Rattus norvegicus: one gene and its partner. The protein of the gene in region 1 interacts with the protein of each later gene in a pairwise test. Links are inferred from orthologs where the notes say so. Each region holds a gene or a part of one and is shown on either strand. Other genes may lie near its edges.

Evidence for each region.
Region 2: the proteins of Pram1 (region 1) and Skap1 interact in binary tests that used the Homo sapiens proteins (3 or more experiments, as listed by UniProt). The two-hybrid records come from large-scale screens. The link is inferred for Rattus norvegicus from reciprocal best matches to the Homo sapiens genes PRAM1 and SKAP1.

Annotation. Positions count from the first base shown.
Region 1 is NC_086025.1:15,124,676-15,130,409, forward strand, and holds the start of Pram1 (PML-RARA-regulated adapter molecule 1), read left to right. Parts: upstream 1-1,137; 5' UTR 1,138-5,734. Other genes in the region: Zfp414 (zinc finger protein 414), read left to right, coding at 1-257. UniProt on the Homo sapiens protein: May be involved in myeloid differentiation. May be involved in integrin signaling in neutrophils. Binds to PtdIns(4)P.
Region 2 is NC_086028.1:81,919,190-81,926,839, forward strand, and holds the start of Skap1 (src kinase-associated phosphoprotein 1), read left to right. Parts: upstream 1-2,826; 5' UTR 2,827-2,924; coding exon 2,925-2,970; intron 2,971-7,650. UniProt on the Homo sapiens protein: Positively regulates T-cell receptor signaling by enhancing the MAP kinase pathway. Required for optimal conjugation between T-cells and antigen-presenting cells by promoting the clustering of integrin ITGAL on the surface of T-cells.

The sequences.
Region 1 (5,734 bases):
TTCCTTACTTGAACCCTGCACCCTTTGGCCTGAGTCCCCCGAGACTGCGCCCATTCCTGGCTGCCACTCCAGGGCCACCGACATCCAGCACTGCCATCTGGAAGAAGAGTCAAGGTGAGTATAGGAGCAGGTTGCCTACAAAGCTGATTGAGCCTACTTTTATTCTGAACTTGAACTGCTTCTTTCCTACAGGTGCTACCAGTAGTCCTAGAAGACCTCAGGGCGGCTCCGATGCGCCCTCAGGTGCGTGCAGGTGACCACCAGGGACGGGTGGAGGGGCCCTTCATTCCTGTGCCCTAAGTGGGCCCTGTGAATGCTGGAAAGCAGCGGTGACTGTCCCTTAAAATACATGATTTTTGCCTTTCAAATGACTGGTATCTATGCCTTCATCTGGTATCTGTGCCAGTGTTCCTGTGTAAACATTTGTGTCTTGTTCTGTCTCTGAGTGGTTTTCTTCTATGGTGGGTCCAGGGATGGGAGGCAAATGTGGTACCTGCTGTGATGGGTAGTCAAGCCCAGGGAAAAGTCTAATCTGTCCTGGTTGACATCTACCATCCATGGTTGAAAGGCTCTCTGGAGGGAGACCCAGGACTCAGAGGCCTGCCTGCCTGCCTGCCTGCCTGCCTGCCTGCCTGCCTGCCTGCCTGTCTGCCTGCCTGCAGGGTACATGGCCCCCAGCCACATTGTGTGCGAACACATAGATGGCTGATATTCGTGTATACAGTGTGACTTCTTCACAGTCTCTCAGTCTGCCATTATACTGCACCTGCAGGACCACCACCCTGGCTACCCCACAGCCTGAAACCTGGGTTCCTTGGTTCCAACACCCAGTTGGGTAAGGCTGAGGAATGTTCAGGCACAGGACTAGAGGCAAGGGATGAGGCACAGGCTCAGGTGACCCCTCCTCAACTCTACACAAGACCCAACCCTGTTTGCTATTGAGGTGTCACAGTGGTCAGAGGGGGAGAATCCAGTTTTATCACAGCTTTGAACCAGCTCTGCTGGGCTAAGTTGTAGGGGATACAGAGATTTTTGTAATTTGAGGAAGAAGGGGACAATAAAGGAGGCACGTTGAGCCAGTGTGTGCTGTGTCTTGGGTCCCTTGCCCCTCAGATTTTTTTTTTAATGTCTTTATTTTATTTTATTTTATTTTTTTGGTTCTTTTTTTCGGAGCTGGGGACCGAACCCAGGGCCTTGTGCTTCCTAGGCAAGCGCTCTACCACTGAGCTAAATCCCCAACCCCAAAAAGTTGTATTTATTTATTCTATATAAGTACACTGTAGCTGTCTTCAGACACACCAGAAGAGGGGAAGAGGGCATCAGATCCCATTACAGATGGTTGTGAGCCACCATGTGGTTGCTGGGAATTGAACTCAAGACCTCTGGAAGAGCAGTCAGTGCTCTTAACCGCTGAGCCATCTCTCCAGCCCATGTCTTTATTTTTTTAAGAGAGAGTGCAAGTGATATGTGTACAGAAGTGTAATGCTTGTGAAGGCCAAAAGAGGGTATAGGATCCCTAAGCATTTGTGAGCTGCCAGCGTGGGTGCTGGGAACCACACTTGCATCTTCTGTAAGAGCAATATGAGAGTGAACTTTCTGTTAGTGTCACAGTTAATCTTTTTTTTTTTTCATTTATTTCAGAGTTAACGCTTATCTGCTGAGCCCTCTTCTACAGCCCCCCCCCCCCCCCAAATAAGCACTAGGCTGCTACCTATGGGACTAGGGTGCTCACACACCTTGGGAGGGGGACTTAAAATTGGCTTCACAGAATCTGACTCTCATCAGAACTCCTATTTTCCTGGCATCTCAGCTGTGGAATCCAGATCTGCAGCTCACTGCCCACCCTAGGAGTAGTCAGTGCCCACTGTTCTGTTCTACAACTTCCAGAACCAGATAGGTTTGTTATTTTCCCAGATGGTTTTCCTTTATTAAAAACCCAGGCATAGTGACACATGCCTTTAATCCCAGCACTTGGGAGGCAGAGGTAAGTGGATCTGAGTTCATAGGCAGCCTGTTCTACAGAGCTAGTTCTAGGACAGTCAGGGCTACACAGAGAAACCCTGTCTTGAAAAATAACAAAAAAGAAATATGGGGGTTGGGGATTTAGCTCAGTGGTAGAGCACTTGCCTAGCAAGCGCAAGGCCCTGGGTTCAGTCCCCAGCTCCGGAAAAAAAAAAAAAAAAGAAATATGGCTTACCATGCTCAAGTGCTTGCCCATGCAACCCTGATGGCCTGTTTGAGTGGGGTAGAAAAAAAAGAAAATCAAGTAGCCAAAATTGTCCTTTCATATATTAAGCCCTGAGCTTAAAGCATGGTGGCACACATCTTTAATCCCAGCACTTGGCAGGCAGAGTCAGGCAGATCTCTGTAAATTCAAGGCCTGATCTAAGTGACAAGGTCCAGGCAGGACACATAGTGAACAATGTCTCAAAAAAATGAGGGGGAAAAAAGCCCCATGGTATGGTAGCACATGGCACATCCAAGCTCTTGGAAAACAGAGAAGGATCATTCTTTTTAAGTTCATACCAACTTAGACTACAAAGCAACACTGTCTCAAGAAATTTTGTTTTTAAGTATCAAGAATTAGGAAGGCAATGTGGAAATCTAGGTCTGAGTAAACCCTGCTCCTGAGGCCAGTGGGTTCACAGAGATGAAAGCCTTGGGTAGCTATAGTTGAGTTGGGTAGGTCAAGATGGAGAACTGAACTTTATCAGCATCTTCCTTGCAATCAGCAGACCTTCTGTTGCTGCTGGCATCTACCCCAACCTGTATTCTGGAGAGTTCGGGGTCCATTTGAAAATGCACTATGGATGGGGATGTAGCTCAGTATAGTACTTGCCTAGCATGCACAAAGCCTTGGGTTCTTTCTATCAACACCACATAACTAGGCTTGCTAATAAGTGCTTAAGTTCCAGAACTAGGAGGAGGTGGGTGTTAGCACTCTCTAAGTTCCACCCCTACAGTTAACCTGGCAACAGCCAGGCATGCCTGACACTATGAAAAGGGCTGCTTGCCCCTTCCTCTCTTCCTCATGCTCTCTTGTTCTTACCCCTCCCCCTTCTCTCCACGTGCTCATGGCCGTCCTCTACTCTTCCTCTACTCTTCTATTTCTCTACTTCTCTCTCTGCCCTACTACCCTCTTAATTTCCCTCCCCATGCTGGCTGGTCCCTCAGAGGGAAGGGATGTCTCAGCATGGGCCTGCTGAGGCACCCCCTTCCCCCAGACCCCCCCTAGAACATAATCCCCACCCTCTCCTTTATCTTTTATAAAACACATTGGTAGGGCTGGAGAGATGGCTTAGAGGTTAAGAGCACTGTCTGCTCTTCCAGAGGTCCTGAGTTCAATTCCCAGCAACCACATGGTGGCTCACAACCACCTATAATCAGGTCTGGTGCCCTCTTCTGGCCTGTAGTTGCATACATGCAGGCAGAAAGCTGTATGATGTATACATTAAAAAAAAAAAAAAAAAAAAAAAAAAAAAAAAAAAAACATTGGTGCTGAAACCCAGGACATATCCTTATCTTTTAATAAACACATCAGTGGGAGTGTGGACTCTGGAGGATTGGGGGTTCAAGGTCATCCTGGCTAGATATGGTATATGTCTATACCCACCACTAATCCCCCTGTCATATATATCCACAAAGAAAACATGGTGCCTTACTTCTGTTCCAGTCCAAAGCCAGGCTGGCCATGCCTCTTGGAAATAGAAGTCCAGTGTGTTGTTCTTCCATTACTTAGAGGTTGGTTCTAACCTCTGTCTAGCTAGGGTAATCCCCTCCTATCCCAAAGAGCCTTTCACTAGTGCTCCTTAGTATCCCTCATAAGTCTCTGGATAAAGACTCCTTGGGCTGGAGAGATGGTGTAGTAGGTACAAACAGGATCTGAGTTTAGATTCCCAGTACCTATTTTAACACGATACGGTAGTACATGTCTGTAACCCAGTACTGGTGGTTGGAGCAGGAGGGAGGGTTCGGGGACAGTCATTCTGGAGGCTTGATGGCCAGCCAGTCTAACCAAAACAGCGAGTTAAAGGTTCCATTGAAAGACCTTGTCTTGGGGTTGGGGATTTAGCTCAGCGGTAGAGCGCTTGCCTAGCGAGCGCAAGGCCCTGGGTTCGGTCCCCAGCTCCGAAAAAAAGAAGAAGAAGAAAAAAAAAAAACCTTGTCTCAAAGTGCCTGAGGAAGGCATTCTAATATTAACTTCTGTCTGGTCTCCACATGTGCTGGCATGGTTGCCTGTACCCCACATGCACAATACATATACAAACACAGATCCTGTTCTAGTAGCCCACAAGGCTCCTCCTTAAACTTCCCCATCTTCTTCCATGGCCATACTCTTCATACCTGCTGCTTCTGGGAAATGTAAAAATCTGGAAAAGAAAACCTCAAAGACCTCCTTGGTACCACCCATTTGTCTCACTCACCACTTCCTTGTATCCTAACTTTAAATCAGAATTACCCTCTATCACCTCTTTGTCCTAGTATCTGCAGCCAAAAGGTGACATTACTCACCTGGTAAGCTAGGTCCTCCAGAGCCTACATCTGTCACAGCCCTCCTATCTTTTTATCTTCACTGTTTGTAGGATCCAGAGAATGATTTACACAGTCATATTTGGTTTTGAATGAGTTTATTAAGCCAAAGTAAAATAATAAATAGCAAGTGATTAGTGGGGAGGGGAAGGGAGGTAAGTGATAGATACCTAGGACTTCTTGGCTGGCCAATCTAGCAAAAAGTGAGCTTCAAGTTCTGAGACCTTGTCCCAAAAAATAAGTTGGAGAAGACATTGATGGCAACTTTTAGCCCCTGCAAACATAGGCACAGACTCATGCACCCACACAAAATAAGGTAGATGTCATTATGCTAGTACTTTGGGATCTTCTGGATGAAAAGGGTTGAGTGGGGAGAGTAGGGGATTTGGAAATGTCTTCTCAGTGGTTCCTGTCCCAGAAACTTAGCATTGAGGGTCAGATACCAGGGACAACCATTTCTACCCAAAGTACCTTTTATCCTTGCTGTTTTACACACGCCCAATCTTTGCTCTTCTGGGAAGCCTTGCAATCCCTATACCCACCCCCACTCATGCTTGTGCCACCCCACTCCCTGCTCCTGAACTCCCATAATCCCCAACCTCCTTCTCTTTAAACTGAACTCCCACATAGACAATGAAGTCTTCCTATTGCCCCAGCTTTCCAGCAGAGAACACCCAAGAGTGTCAGTGAAGGAAAAGCATCTGCTGGCAGGAGCTTGCACAGCTGCTCAGAGGCAAGGTTAACTAGAACAGATGGAATTCCTGGCGATTTGTTTGCAGGGTCAGGTTTCAGGCTACCTTTTGGCAATTATGCACTAACAGTTCTGTCACCTCAAGGATGCAGAATTGCTGATATTTATTCTGGCTAAGAGAGGTGGAGAGCACCAACAACCCCAGATGGATCACAGCTCATGTGTCTGGACCGCGTTCCTGCTCCCTCCTTCAAAGAACTCCCCAATCTACCACAATAATTTAGCCCTCGATCATTTTTTTTTTTTTTCAGTTTCTTTTTTTCCGGAGTTGGGGACAGAACCCAGGGCCTTGCGCTTGCTAGGCAAGCGCTCTACCACTGAGCTAAATCCCCAACCCCTTAGCCCTCGATCATTATAGGCTTCTAGTTCAGCCCTTCAGTTTGTGTTGGTCTTGATTGCCTACTGTGTGCTTTCCTTTCAGGCCAGCACAAAGATCAGAGGACAGCTGTGGGG
Region 2 (7,650 bases), on another chromosome or scaffold:
TTGCTTGTGATTGTTACCGACACCATGGCGTTTTAGGTGCCAGATGTTCTTGTTTCTCCCTGATTGAGCCCTTTGGACGCCCCATGGATGAATACTAAGCGCCCACCTGGCAAGAGGACGTGCAGACAGCATCTTCAAGTAGCCCAGAGGCCAACACGGCTTCCATTCTCTGCATCTTCTGTCTGCTGACAGCATGTGAGGAGTCTCAGTGGACAGGGCATGCGTATTCTGCATGCTGTGTGGCTGGACTCCATTTCTGACTGTTCTGCTCTCTCTAGATACCCTTATCTTATCTAATTACAAGGAATTTTAGATTAATTTCACGGCCTCTGTTCCCTAGGACCTCTTATCTGCGGGGGCCTTGTATTTTTTTTTTCACCTTGTCATTCTTTTGTTGTTTGCCTTTAAGGGGTGATGGCTAGAAGGGGAAGATGTTGGGATTGGGGTGGGGGAGGGAGGAGGGGGAAGGCAGACAGATCTGGACCGCTGCCTGTGTGTGGAGACAGCTGGCTGCTTTCTTCCATGACAGCCACATGGTAGGTACCCAGCCACACAGAACAGGACCTGGGCAGGGACTCGCTGGCAACCTCTCTAGATCTCTTTGATATTTCCGACAGAGCAGTAAAGGACTCTTGACTATCACCTTTTTTTTCTTTTTTTTTTTTTTTTTTTTTTTTTTTTTTTTTTTTTTTTTGCTTTGCCTCTCTCCACCTCCTGCAAGACTCCTCCATGTCGTTTCCATGGCTACCCCCAATCAGATTTGGCTTCCTGCGAAATTGGATTTCAAAGGAGGACAGGGCTTCAAAGGAATTTGTCCATTTAACAGAATGTCATTAGGAGTGAGGCTGACTGCTGAACCGGGGTCCTCAGATGATTAAGGAGGGGCAGCACTCATGTGTGGAGGCAGGCTTCTGTCTGCAACGAGGAACCTTGATGCAACATGACAATAGCGTATTGGAAACTGCCAGTCACCAGCACACATCACCTGACTTACACCTCCCTCTACCTCCATCTCTCCCATCCCAGGCATCCACAGGGGAAGAAATGCAAGAAGTGTGTCTACCCGGTGCAGTTTCGCTTCTCCCTAGGTGGCAGGAAGCCTGGGGTTCTGCCCTTTGTCAAACAACTCCTGAGCACCTACCCTATGTGACCATGCTGACCTTAAATACGAGGGTGGGGCACTCTGGGCTCTCCTCAGAACCTAGAAACCTTCTGCCTTTTACTGAAGAAAGAGGGAGGGGCTGTCCTTTTTTATCCCCATTGCTAGAAGAGAAATGGAGGAAGTTTGTGCACTATAGAGGGAAGCTTATACCCTCCCCTTTGGAAGAACGGTTTTATGTTTACAAAAAGAAGAGAGTGTCAGACCCACATGGCCTCCATGTTTAAACATGCATGCACCCCAAGTGATTCTCAAGCAGCTTCGGTTTTATCAGGGGGACAGCAAGGTAGGGAAAAATGTCCCCGGAGGCAGCCTACACCCATCCAGAGCCTGGAAGAGGCAGCCCAAGCCCATCCCTATAGATTCACCCAGTAAGGAACAAGCAGCACCATGGAGTCGGATTCCCTGGCGACCCCTGACAGGTTCTATCCCTTCAGATCAACTTGTTGCAATTTATATGTGTGTCATGAGGTCCTGAAACCAAGACCATTCCTTCTCGGGTGTCGGGATATGATAAACGCCACTGAAACCCTTAAAAGGGAGGGCCCCTAACCTTGAGGCCACAGCTTCATGGGTTGTGTGCACGCACCTATTCCAGGAGATCCATCCGTCTGCCTTGGGCCCTTCTGAACGGCCTCTTCTCTTTGCTCTGCCTTCTTCTACATAATAAACAAATCGTTTGCCTCCCTCCTGTCATGTGCTCCGAGTCCTTCCTACCTATCCTTAGAATAGAATCCAGGAGAGAGAGAGAGAGAGAGAGAGAGAGAGAGAGAGAGAGAGAGAGAGAGAGAGAGAGAGTTGGTAGAGGTGAAGAGATGCAGAGGCCACATAATTATAGATCATTTTCCATCTACGAAGTCTTCCCACCCTTTTAAAACCCGGTCTGGTATTTAGCTCCCCTTTAAGTACCTGCGCACCCACGGGTGCTCCCATCCTTCCCTTGTGTTCATGCTCTTTCTTATTTCATCCATGCCGCTGCTCTCGGTTCTTCACGGCCCCGTTGACAAGTGGTTGACAAAAATAACAAAGGATTCCACGTACCACCGCCCAAGTTCGTGGTGTACTTACTACAACCCAAACTTGGGCACTGACTGGCTGTACTTTGAGGGGGAAAGGGTATAGCCCTGTGATCTTGTCGAGCACTTTCTTCCTTCCTGTGCTCCGAGAAAGAGCTGTTTCCCACCTTCCCACAGCCTTTCACCTCCAGAGAGGACATTCCCTCCGTCTCTCTCTGTGCATTGCATCTGATGCTGAGTCTCTCAAATGTTGAGAATCTATATTGTCGCTGGGACTCCAGATTTTAATTTTTAACCAGCAAGGCTTTCCCCGACGGTGAGCTGGATAGGACCAAGTCCTTTCTTGGATTCTGCCTCTGCCCCCCAGTTCAGGAACAACCATGGCCTTTTAAACCTACCGCCCCAAGGTCAAATTGCTCAGGGCTTAGATGTTTCCGCCAAGATTTAGCCTCTAAAGCTCTTCGGAGTCTAGCAATCTTTTGGTGCGGGGCTCAAAGGGCCACGCCTTTGACCTTGCATGCCACCTTGGTGCCATCAGTGCACCTGCGCCCCGGGTCCCGCTCCCGCCGCCCGCTGCGCGCGCCGCTTCCTGAGCGCGCGGCCGGCGGCCCCGCCCGGCGCGGGGCCCCAAGTGCAGCCGAGGTACAGGTGCCCGGGGTGCAGCTCGCCTCCTTCTGCCTGCCGCCGTCAAAACAGGCCTCGTGTCCCTTGTCCCTCCTTCTGCTGTGGCCACCCTCTCGCCGTGCCAAATGCAGGCCATCGCCCTCCCGGAGGAGATCTGTTGGCTCCTGGAAGGTAACTCCTGGCTCAGTGCCAGACCTCTGTCCTGACCCTCCCCTCTGGGAGGGCCTTTCAGTGCTGGGCTGAAGGCAAGAAAGGAGACACCAAGGCATCAGCCCTACAGCCCTATAATATAAGTTCCAGGCTCCCAGAGTCCTCAATCCTCCTCTTGTCCCCAAAGCCAGCCTATTGCCCATTGTCCCACCTCAGGGTCCCCACATCTCCCTTGAGTTACACATTTTCCGTCCCTTCTAGGCATCTATATCACTTCTAGGTTTCTGGGGTCTTGCAGGCCAGTTCATGGCCTCCCCTGACACCTTGCTTGGTCTTGAACCTGTCTCCTGGGAAATCCCTGAGGTCTGTAGCAGGTTAGTTCTTACCCTCCCCAGTCCTGACTCCTCACCTCGCGGAAGACCCACGACACACAGAAGGGATCTGTGGAGATATATGGGTCTTTGGGCCAAGCCTGGTGGTTAGAGGACTTCTTTTTTTTTTTTTTTTTTTTTTGGTTCTTTTTTTCGGAGCTGGGGACTGAACCCAGGGTCTTGTGCTTCCTAGGCAAGCGCTCTACTACTGAGCTAAATTCCCAGCCCCAGGACTTCTTATAAGTGTGGTAAGCCAAGGAGTCCTTTACTATTCTGAAGACTGGTGGGGGAGGGGGGTGCTGTCATCTATCCAAGGGAAGCCTCAGAGTATGACGTTCCTAACCTTCCTGAAGTGTCACGTTGTGATGGCTTCACCTTCAAAAAAGTCTTTTAGAGTTAAAGTCACACTTTGCAACACTTAGCATACATTCCTGATACTCCAAAGAACTTTCCTGATGGACAGTATCTTGTGCTTGGCTCACAAGGTGAAAATTCATTTTACTCCTATGACTGACCTTCCTGGAAGGACAGAGGTCTGGAATCTGCAGTTGCGTAAGGGTCTCAAGAGGAAACTGCTCAGAATTAAGCCTTTTGGCATCCAGGCGACATATCTGACACATAGTTAACAGATGGCCTGCCTTGGGCAGGTCATGATTTTGGCAAGCTGTATTCTTTCCAGTTTCTCTCCATTTAATTGGTTTCATATCTCCATTACCTTGTTATCTTGGTATAAATGCCTTCTAATCAAGGATTTGGCCAGTGCATTTGGATTCTGTCTGCGGCACTGTTTCTATTCTGGATTGCTTCTCTGTAAGAGCTGGAAGCTAGGTGTTTCTTTTGAGGTGATGTTTCAAAAAATGTATTCTTAGAAAAGCGTTTTGTTTACTTACTTTTGGAGTGTGTGGGTGTGGGGTGTGCATGGCCACAGCGGGTTTGTGGAGTTCAGATGGCAGCTGTTGAGAATTGGGTCTCATCTTCTATCCTCCAGTGATGGGGATCAAACTCAGGTCTTCAGGCTTGGTGCTAAGCACTTTTACCCACCACCGCCCTCCCTTGTGCTTAGGGGATTGAATCTAGGACCATATGCGTGATCGTTAGATGTCCTACCACTGAGCTACATTCTCTAAATTACCTAAAGTCCACTCAGTGTGTAAACCAAGGAACTGTAGAAATAACAAGTTATTTGGAAGATAGAAGTCACCAGACACCTAAAGAGATTTAACCAGCGCTAGTTTGGTAGTAGATACATAAAGGAAGGCTGTGGTTGTCTTGGGTTTTAGGGAAGGAACTGCAGCCACAAGTTGTATTTAAAGCCGGAGTATCTCTCTCTCTCTGTTGGTGTCAGTTATTTTATGAGAAGAAACCCATTTTACAAGCTTATTAAATGATACCTCAGTTTGGTGCACAGCATCGATAGAAAGCCCCTCTTCTTTTTGGAGGCTCGAGTGCGACACGATCCCTCCCCTGCTTCGATGTTTTTGACATGCAGTTCCTTATTGTTCAAAACTGACACTTTGGTAAACAACTCATTTTTGCACCTGCCACCTTCCCTTAGCTCAGATTATTTTCTTGTTAGCCGACTGTTTTTAATTGAAGTCTTCAGATCTCCTTCTAAAGCAGAACCTTTGTTTGCTGACAGGCAGAGCCGGCTATGAATGGAGATTAATTGCATGTCACATATTTCTGTATCAAACTTGCTGTGTCTTAACAATCTCTGATAGTGCTCCGGTCTTCAGAAGATATAGGGGAGTCTGAGGTTACATTGTGAGGAGCTTCGCTGGCTAATGATTTCTTTAAAGTCACCCCTCCCCTTTAAGTTTGTAATTGTGCTCTTGGATCTGAAGTGGGGGAGATGTGAAGTGGGATATAACCAACGATTCTATTGAAGAGTGATTTAAAAGTATGTTCTCGAAAGATTTGTGTGATGAGAGCAACCTATTGGTTATAGGTTTTTATTTTTAATGGAATGTGTTCTCTAGTGTAAACCAGCAAAATGATTCACTGTTACAAATTTTGAGTATTAGGAATCCAAAATGGCCGTCGGTTTGTTGTCTGTGGTTCACTGTTAAGAATTAGGAAAAACATAGGTCCTTGATCTCTGTGTAGTCGCTCGGTGGGAGGGAGTCACAGGATGTGAGAGTTGTGACTGTTGCTACCGCACAGCATGGGGCTGGAGTTTCCACAATGAATTACTGCTTTCATAAACCAAGTCATAAGCATTTGCACAGTGATTTAATGCTGGCCATCACAGCCATAACTTAAACATTTATCTATTTGTAACAATAGAAGCATAAAATGACAGGGACACTTTTTGATATAGTGTTTGTGCTTTAAAAAAATAAAATATGCACAATACTGTGCCAGGTTCATACCGAGATTTTTGCAATAATGAGGGTCTGGAATTAATTTTAAGTATAAAGATTTCAACATTTGAGGAGTCTCATTTGACATGGAAGTCCCACTTCTAGGAACATGTTATAGAAATTAAAGACCAGGAATATATATGTTTATATAAGTGTATCCCAGATGTCCATGAGGTGGGAAAAGCGGGTGATGGTCAATTGGATCATGGGATATCCATCTTAGTTTATGTAAAGAACGCAGGAGAGGGGTTGGGGATTTAGCTCAGTGGTAGAGCGCTTGCCTAGGAAGCGCAAGGCCCTGGGTTCGGTCCCCAGCTCCAAAAAAAAAGAACCAAAAAAAAAAAAAAAAAAAAAAGAACGCAGGAGATCTGTGTGTCTGTCTGACATCTGTCTATCTTGGCTTACAAAGTGTCCATGGCATGTTTTTAGGCCGAAAGAGGCAAAATACACAGTAGTACATATAATGGCCCATTTCTATTTCAAAACAAAAGGCCAAAATAAAAAAGTTCCACACACCATATAGATTTATGTAAGCCTCAGAAGTGTCCCACGCTCTCAACAGTTTCCTTTGTTTTTTTTTTTTCTTTTCTTTTTTTTTCTTTTTTTCGGAGCTGGGGACCGAACCCAGGGCCTTGCGCTCGTTAGGCAAGCGCTCTACCACTGAGCTAAATCCCCAACCCCAACAGTTTCCTTTTAAGGACAGAGAGACGTGTAGGGGTTCGTGATTTTTATTACATTTATCTTCAATTGGTTAAATTGTGCAAAGGTCATGTATTACTTCTTGAGTCAAGAAAGAATAGTCAGATAGGTTTAAAACAAAACAAAACAAAACAAAACAGACGAACGGAGGCCCAGACGTTAAAGGGCCATTAACTTCAGGAGTGATGGTTTTTCCTGCTTAGCCGTGGGAAGTTGTGTAGAAAGCTTACATCAAAACAGAGCAAACCAAAACACTGTCTCTGTTGTTATTTTAGCAAAGGGTAAGGTGAGGAGAAGCTTCTAGCATCCCAGGAAGCAGCCTCTTCCATCGGCTCTGTGAGCTCCCCACGCAGGGACAGAAAGTGGTCCCATATCAGTGAATAAGGCACGGTGTAGATAAGGAACGGAGGGCATCTTCCGATTTGCTGAAAGAACAGGAAATATTCGGGTCTGTTTTTAGGTGGTCAGGCTTCAGATGTAGACGTTTTCTTTTTGTGCCTTTGTTGATTGATAACGATGCTGAAAACAAGAACAATGGGCTGGTGGCTTGTAATCTCCGTTGCGGGACACAAACAGCCTCCTCTTCCTGGTCCTTCTAGCGCCACCCCCCTTGTGTGGGTCTCTGTCTCTAACTCTTTTTAAGTAAGAACCGAAGAGGAAAGTGTGAAGGGGGGGCAGCAGATAGATAGGAAACCTGCTGACTTCACCCTGATAGCTGAGAGATCCAGCTGCCTATCCAGGGCCCCCATGGGGCTTGGAAGGACTGAAGCCCAGTCACTGCCTGGCTCCCTAGTACCCGCCCCCTCATACCCTCCTAATGGTTGCTTACATTTAAATTTTAGCAGCTGCCCTTGGTGGTGATGCACACCTTTGATCCTAGCACTCGAGAGGCAGGGGCAGGTGGCTCTCGTGTGAGTCCAAGGCCCGCCTGAGTTCCAGGACCCGTCTCAAACAAAACAAAAAAACGACAACCAAACCCTTCAGCCATTTCCTTCTAGGTAGTTCTCCAAAGTGTTAGACCTAGATGAAAGGATAAAACTTCTTTCCGTTTCTCTAGATAGCAAAGGTTCTTTTAAACCCTCTAACTCGTAAATATCTTTGATCAATTCTTTTAAAACAGGAATTGGGAACAACCCTCCCCCATTTCTTCAACCAGTTACTGGTCTTGGAACGAGTCTCACTTAAATTCTTCTAAACTCAGTGTTGTTTGGTGACCGTCTGCTGTTTAAAGCCATTTCTGACTGGGATAGTCTGGGTTGCCTTGTGAC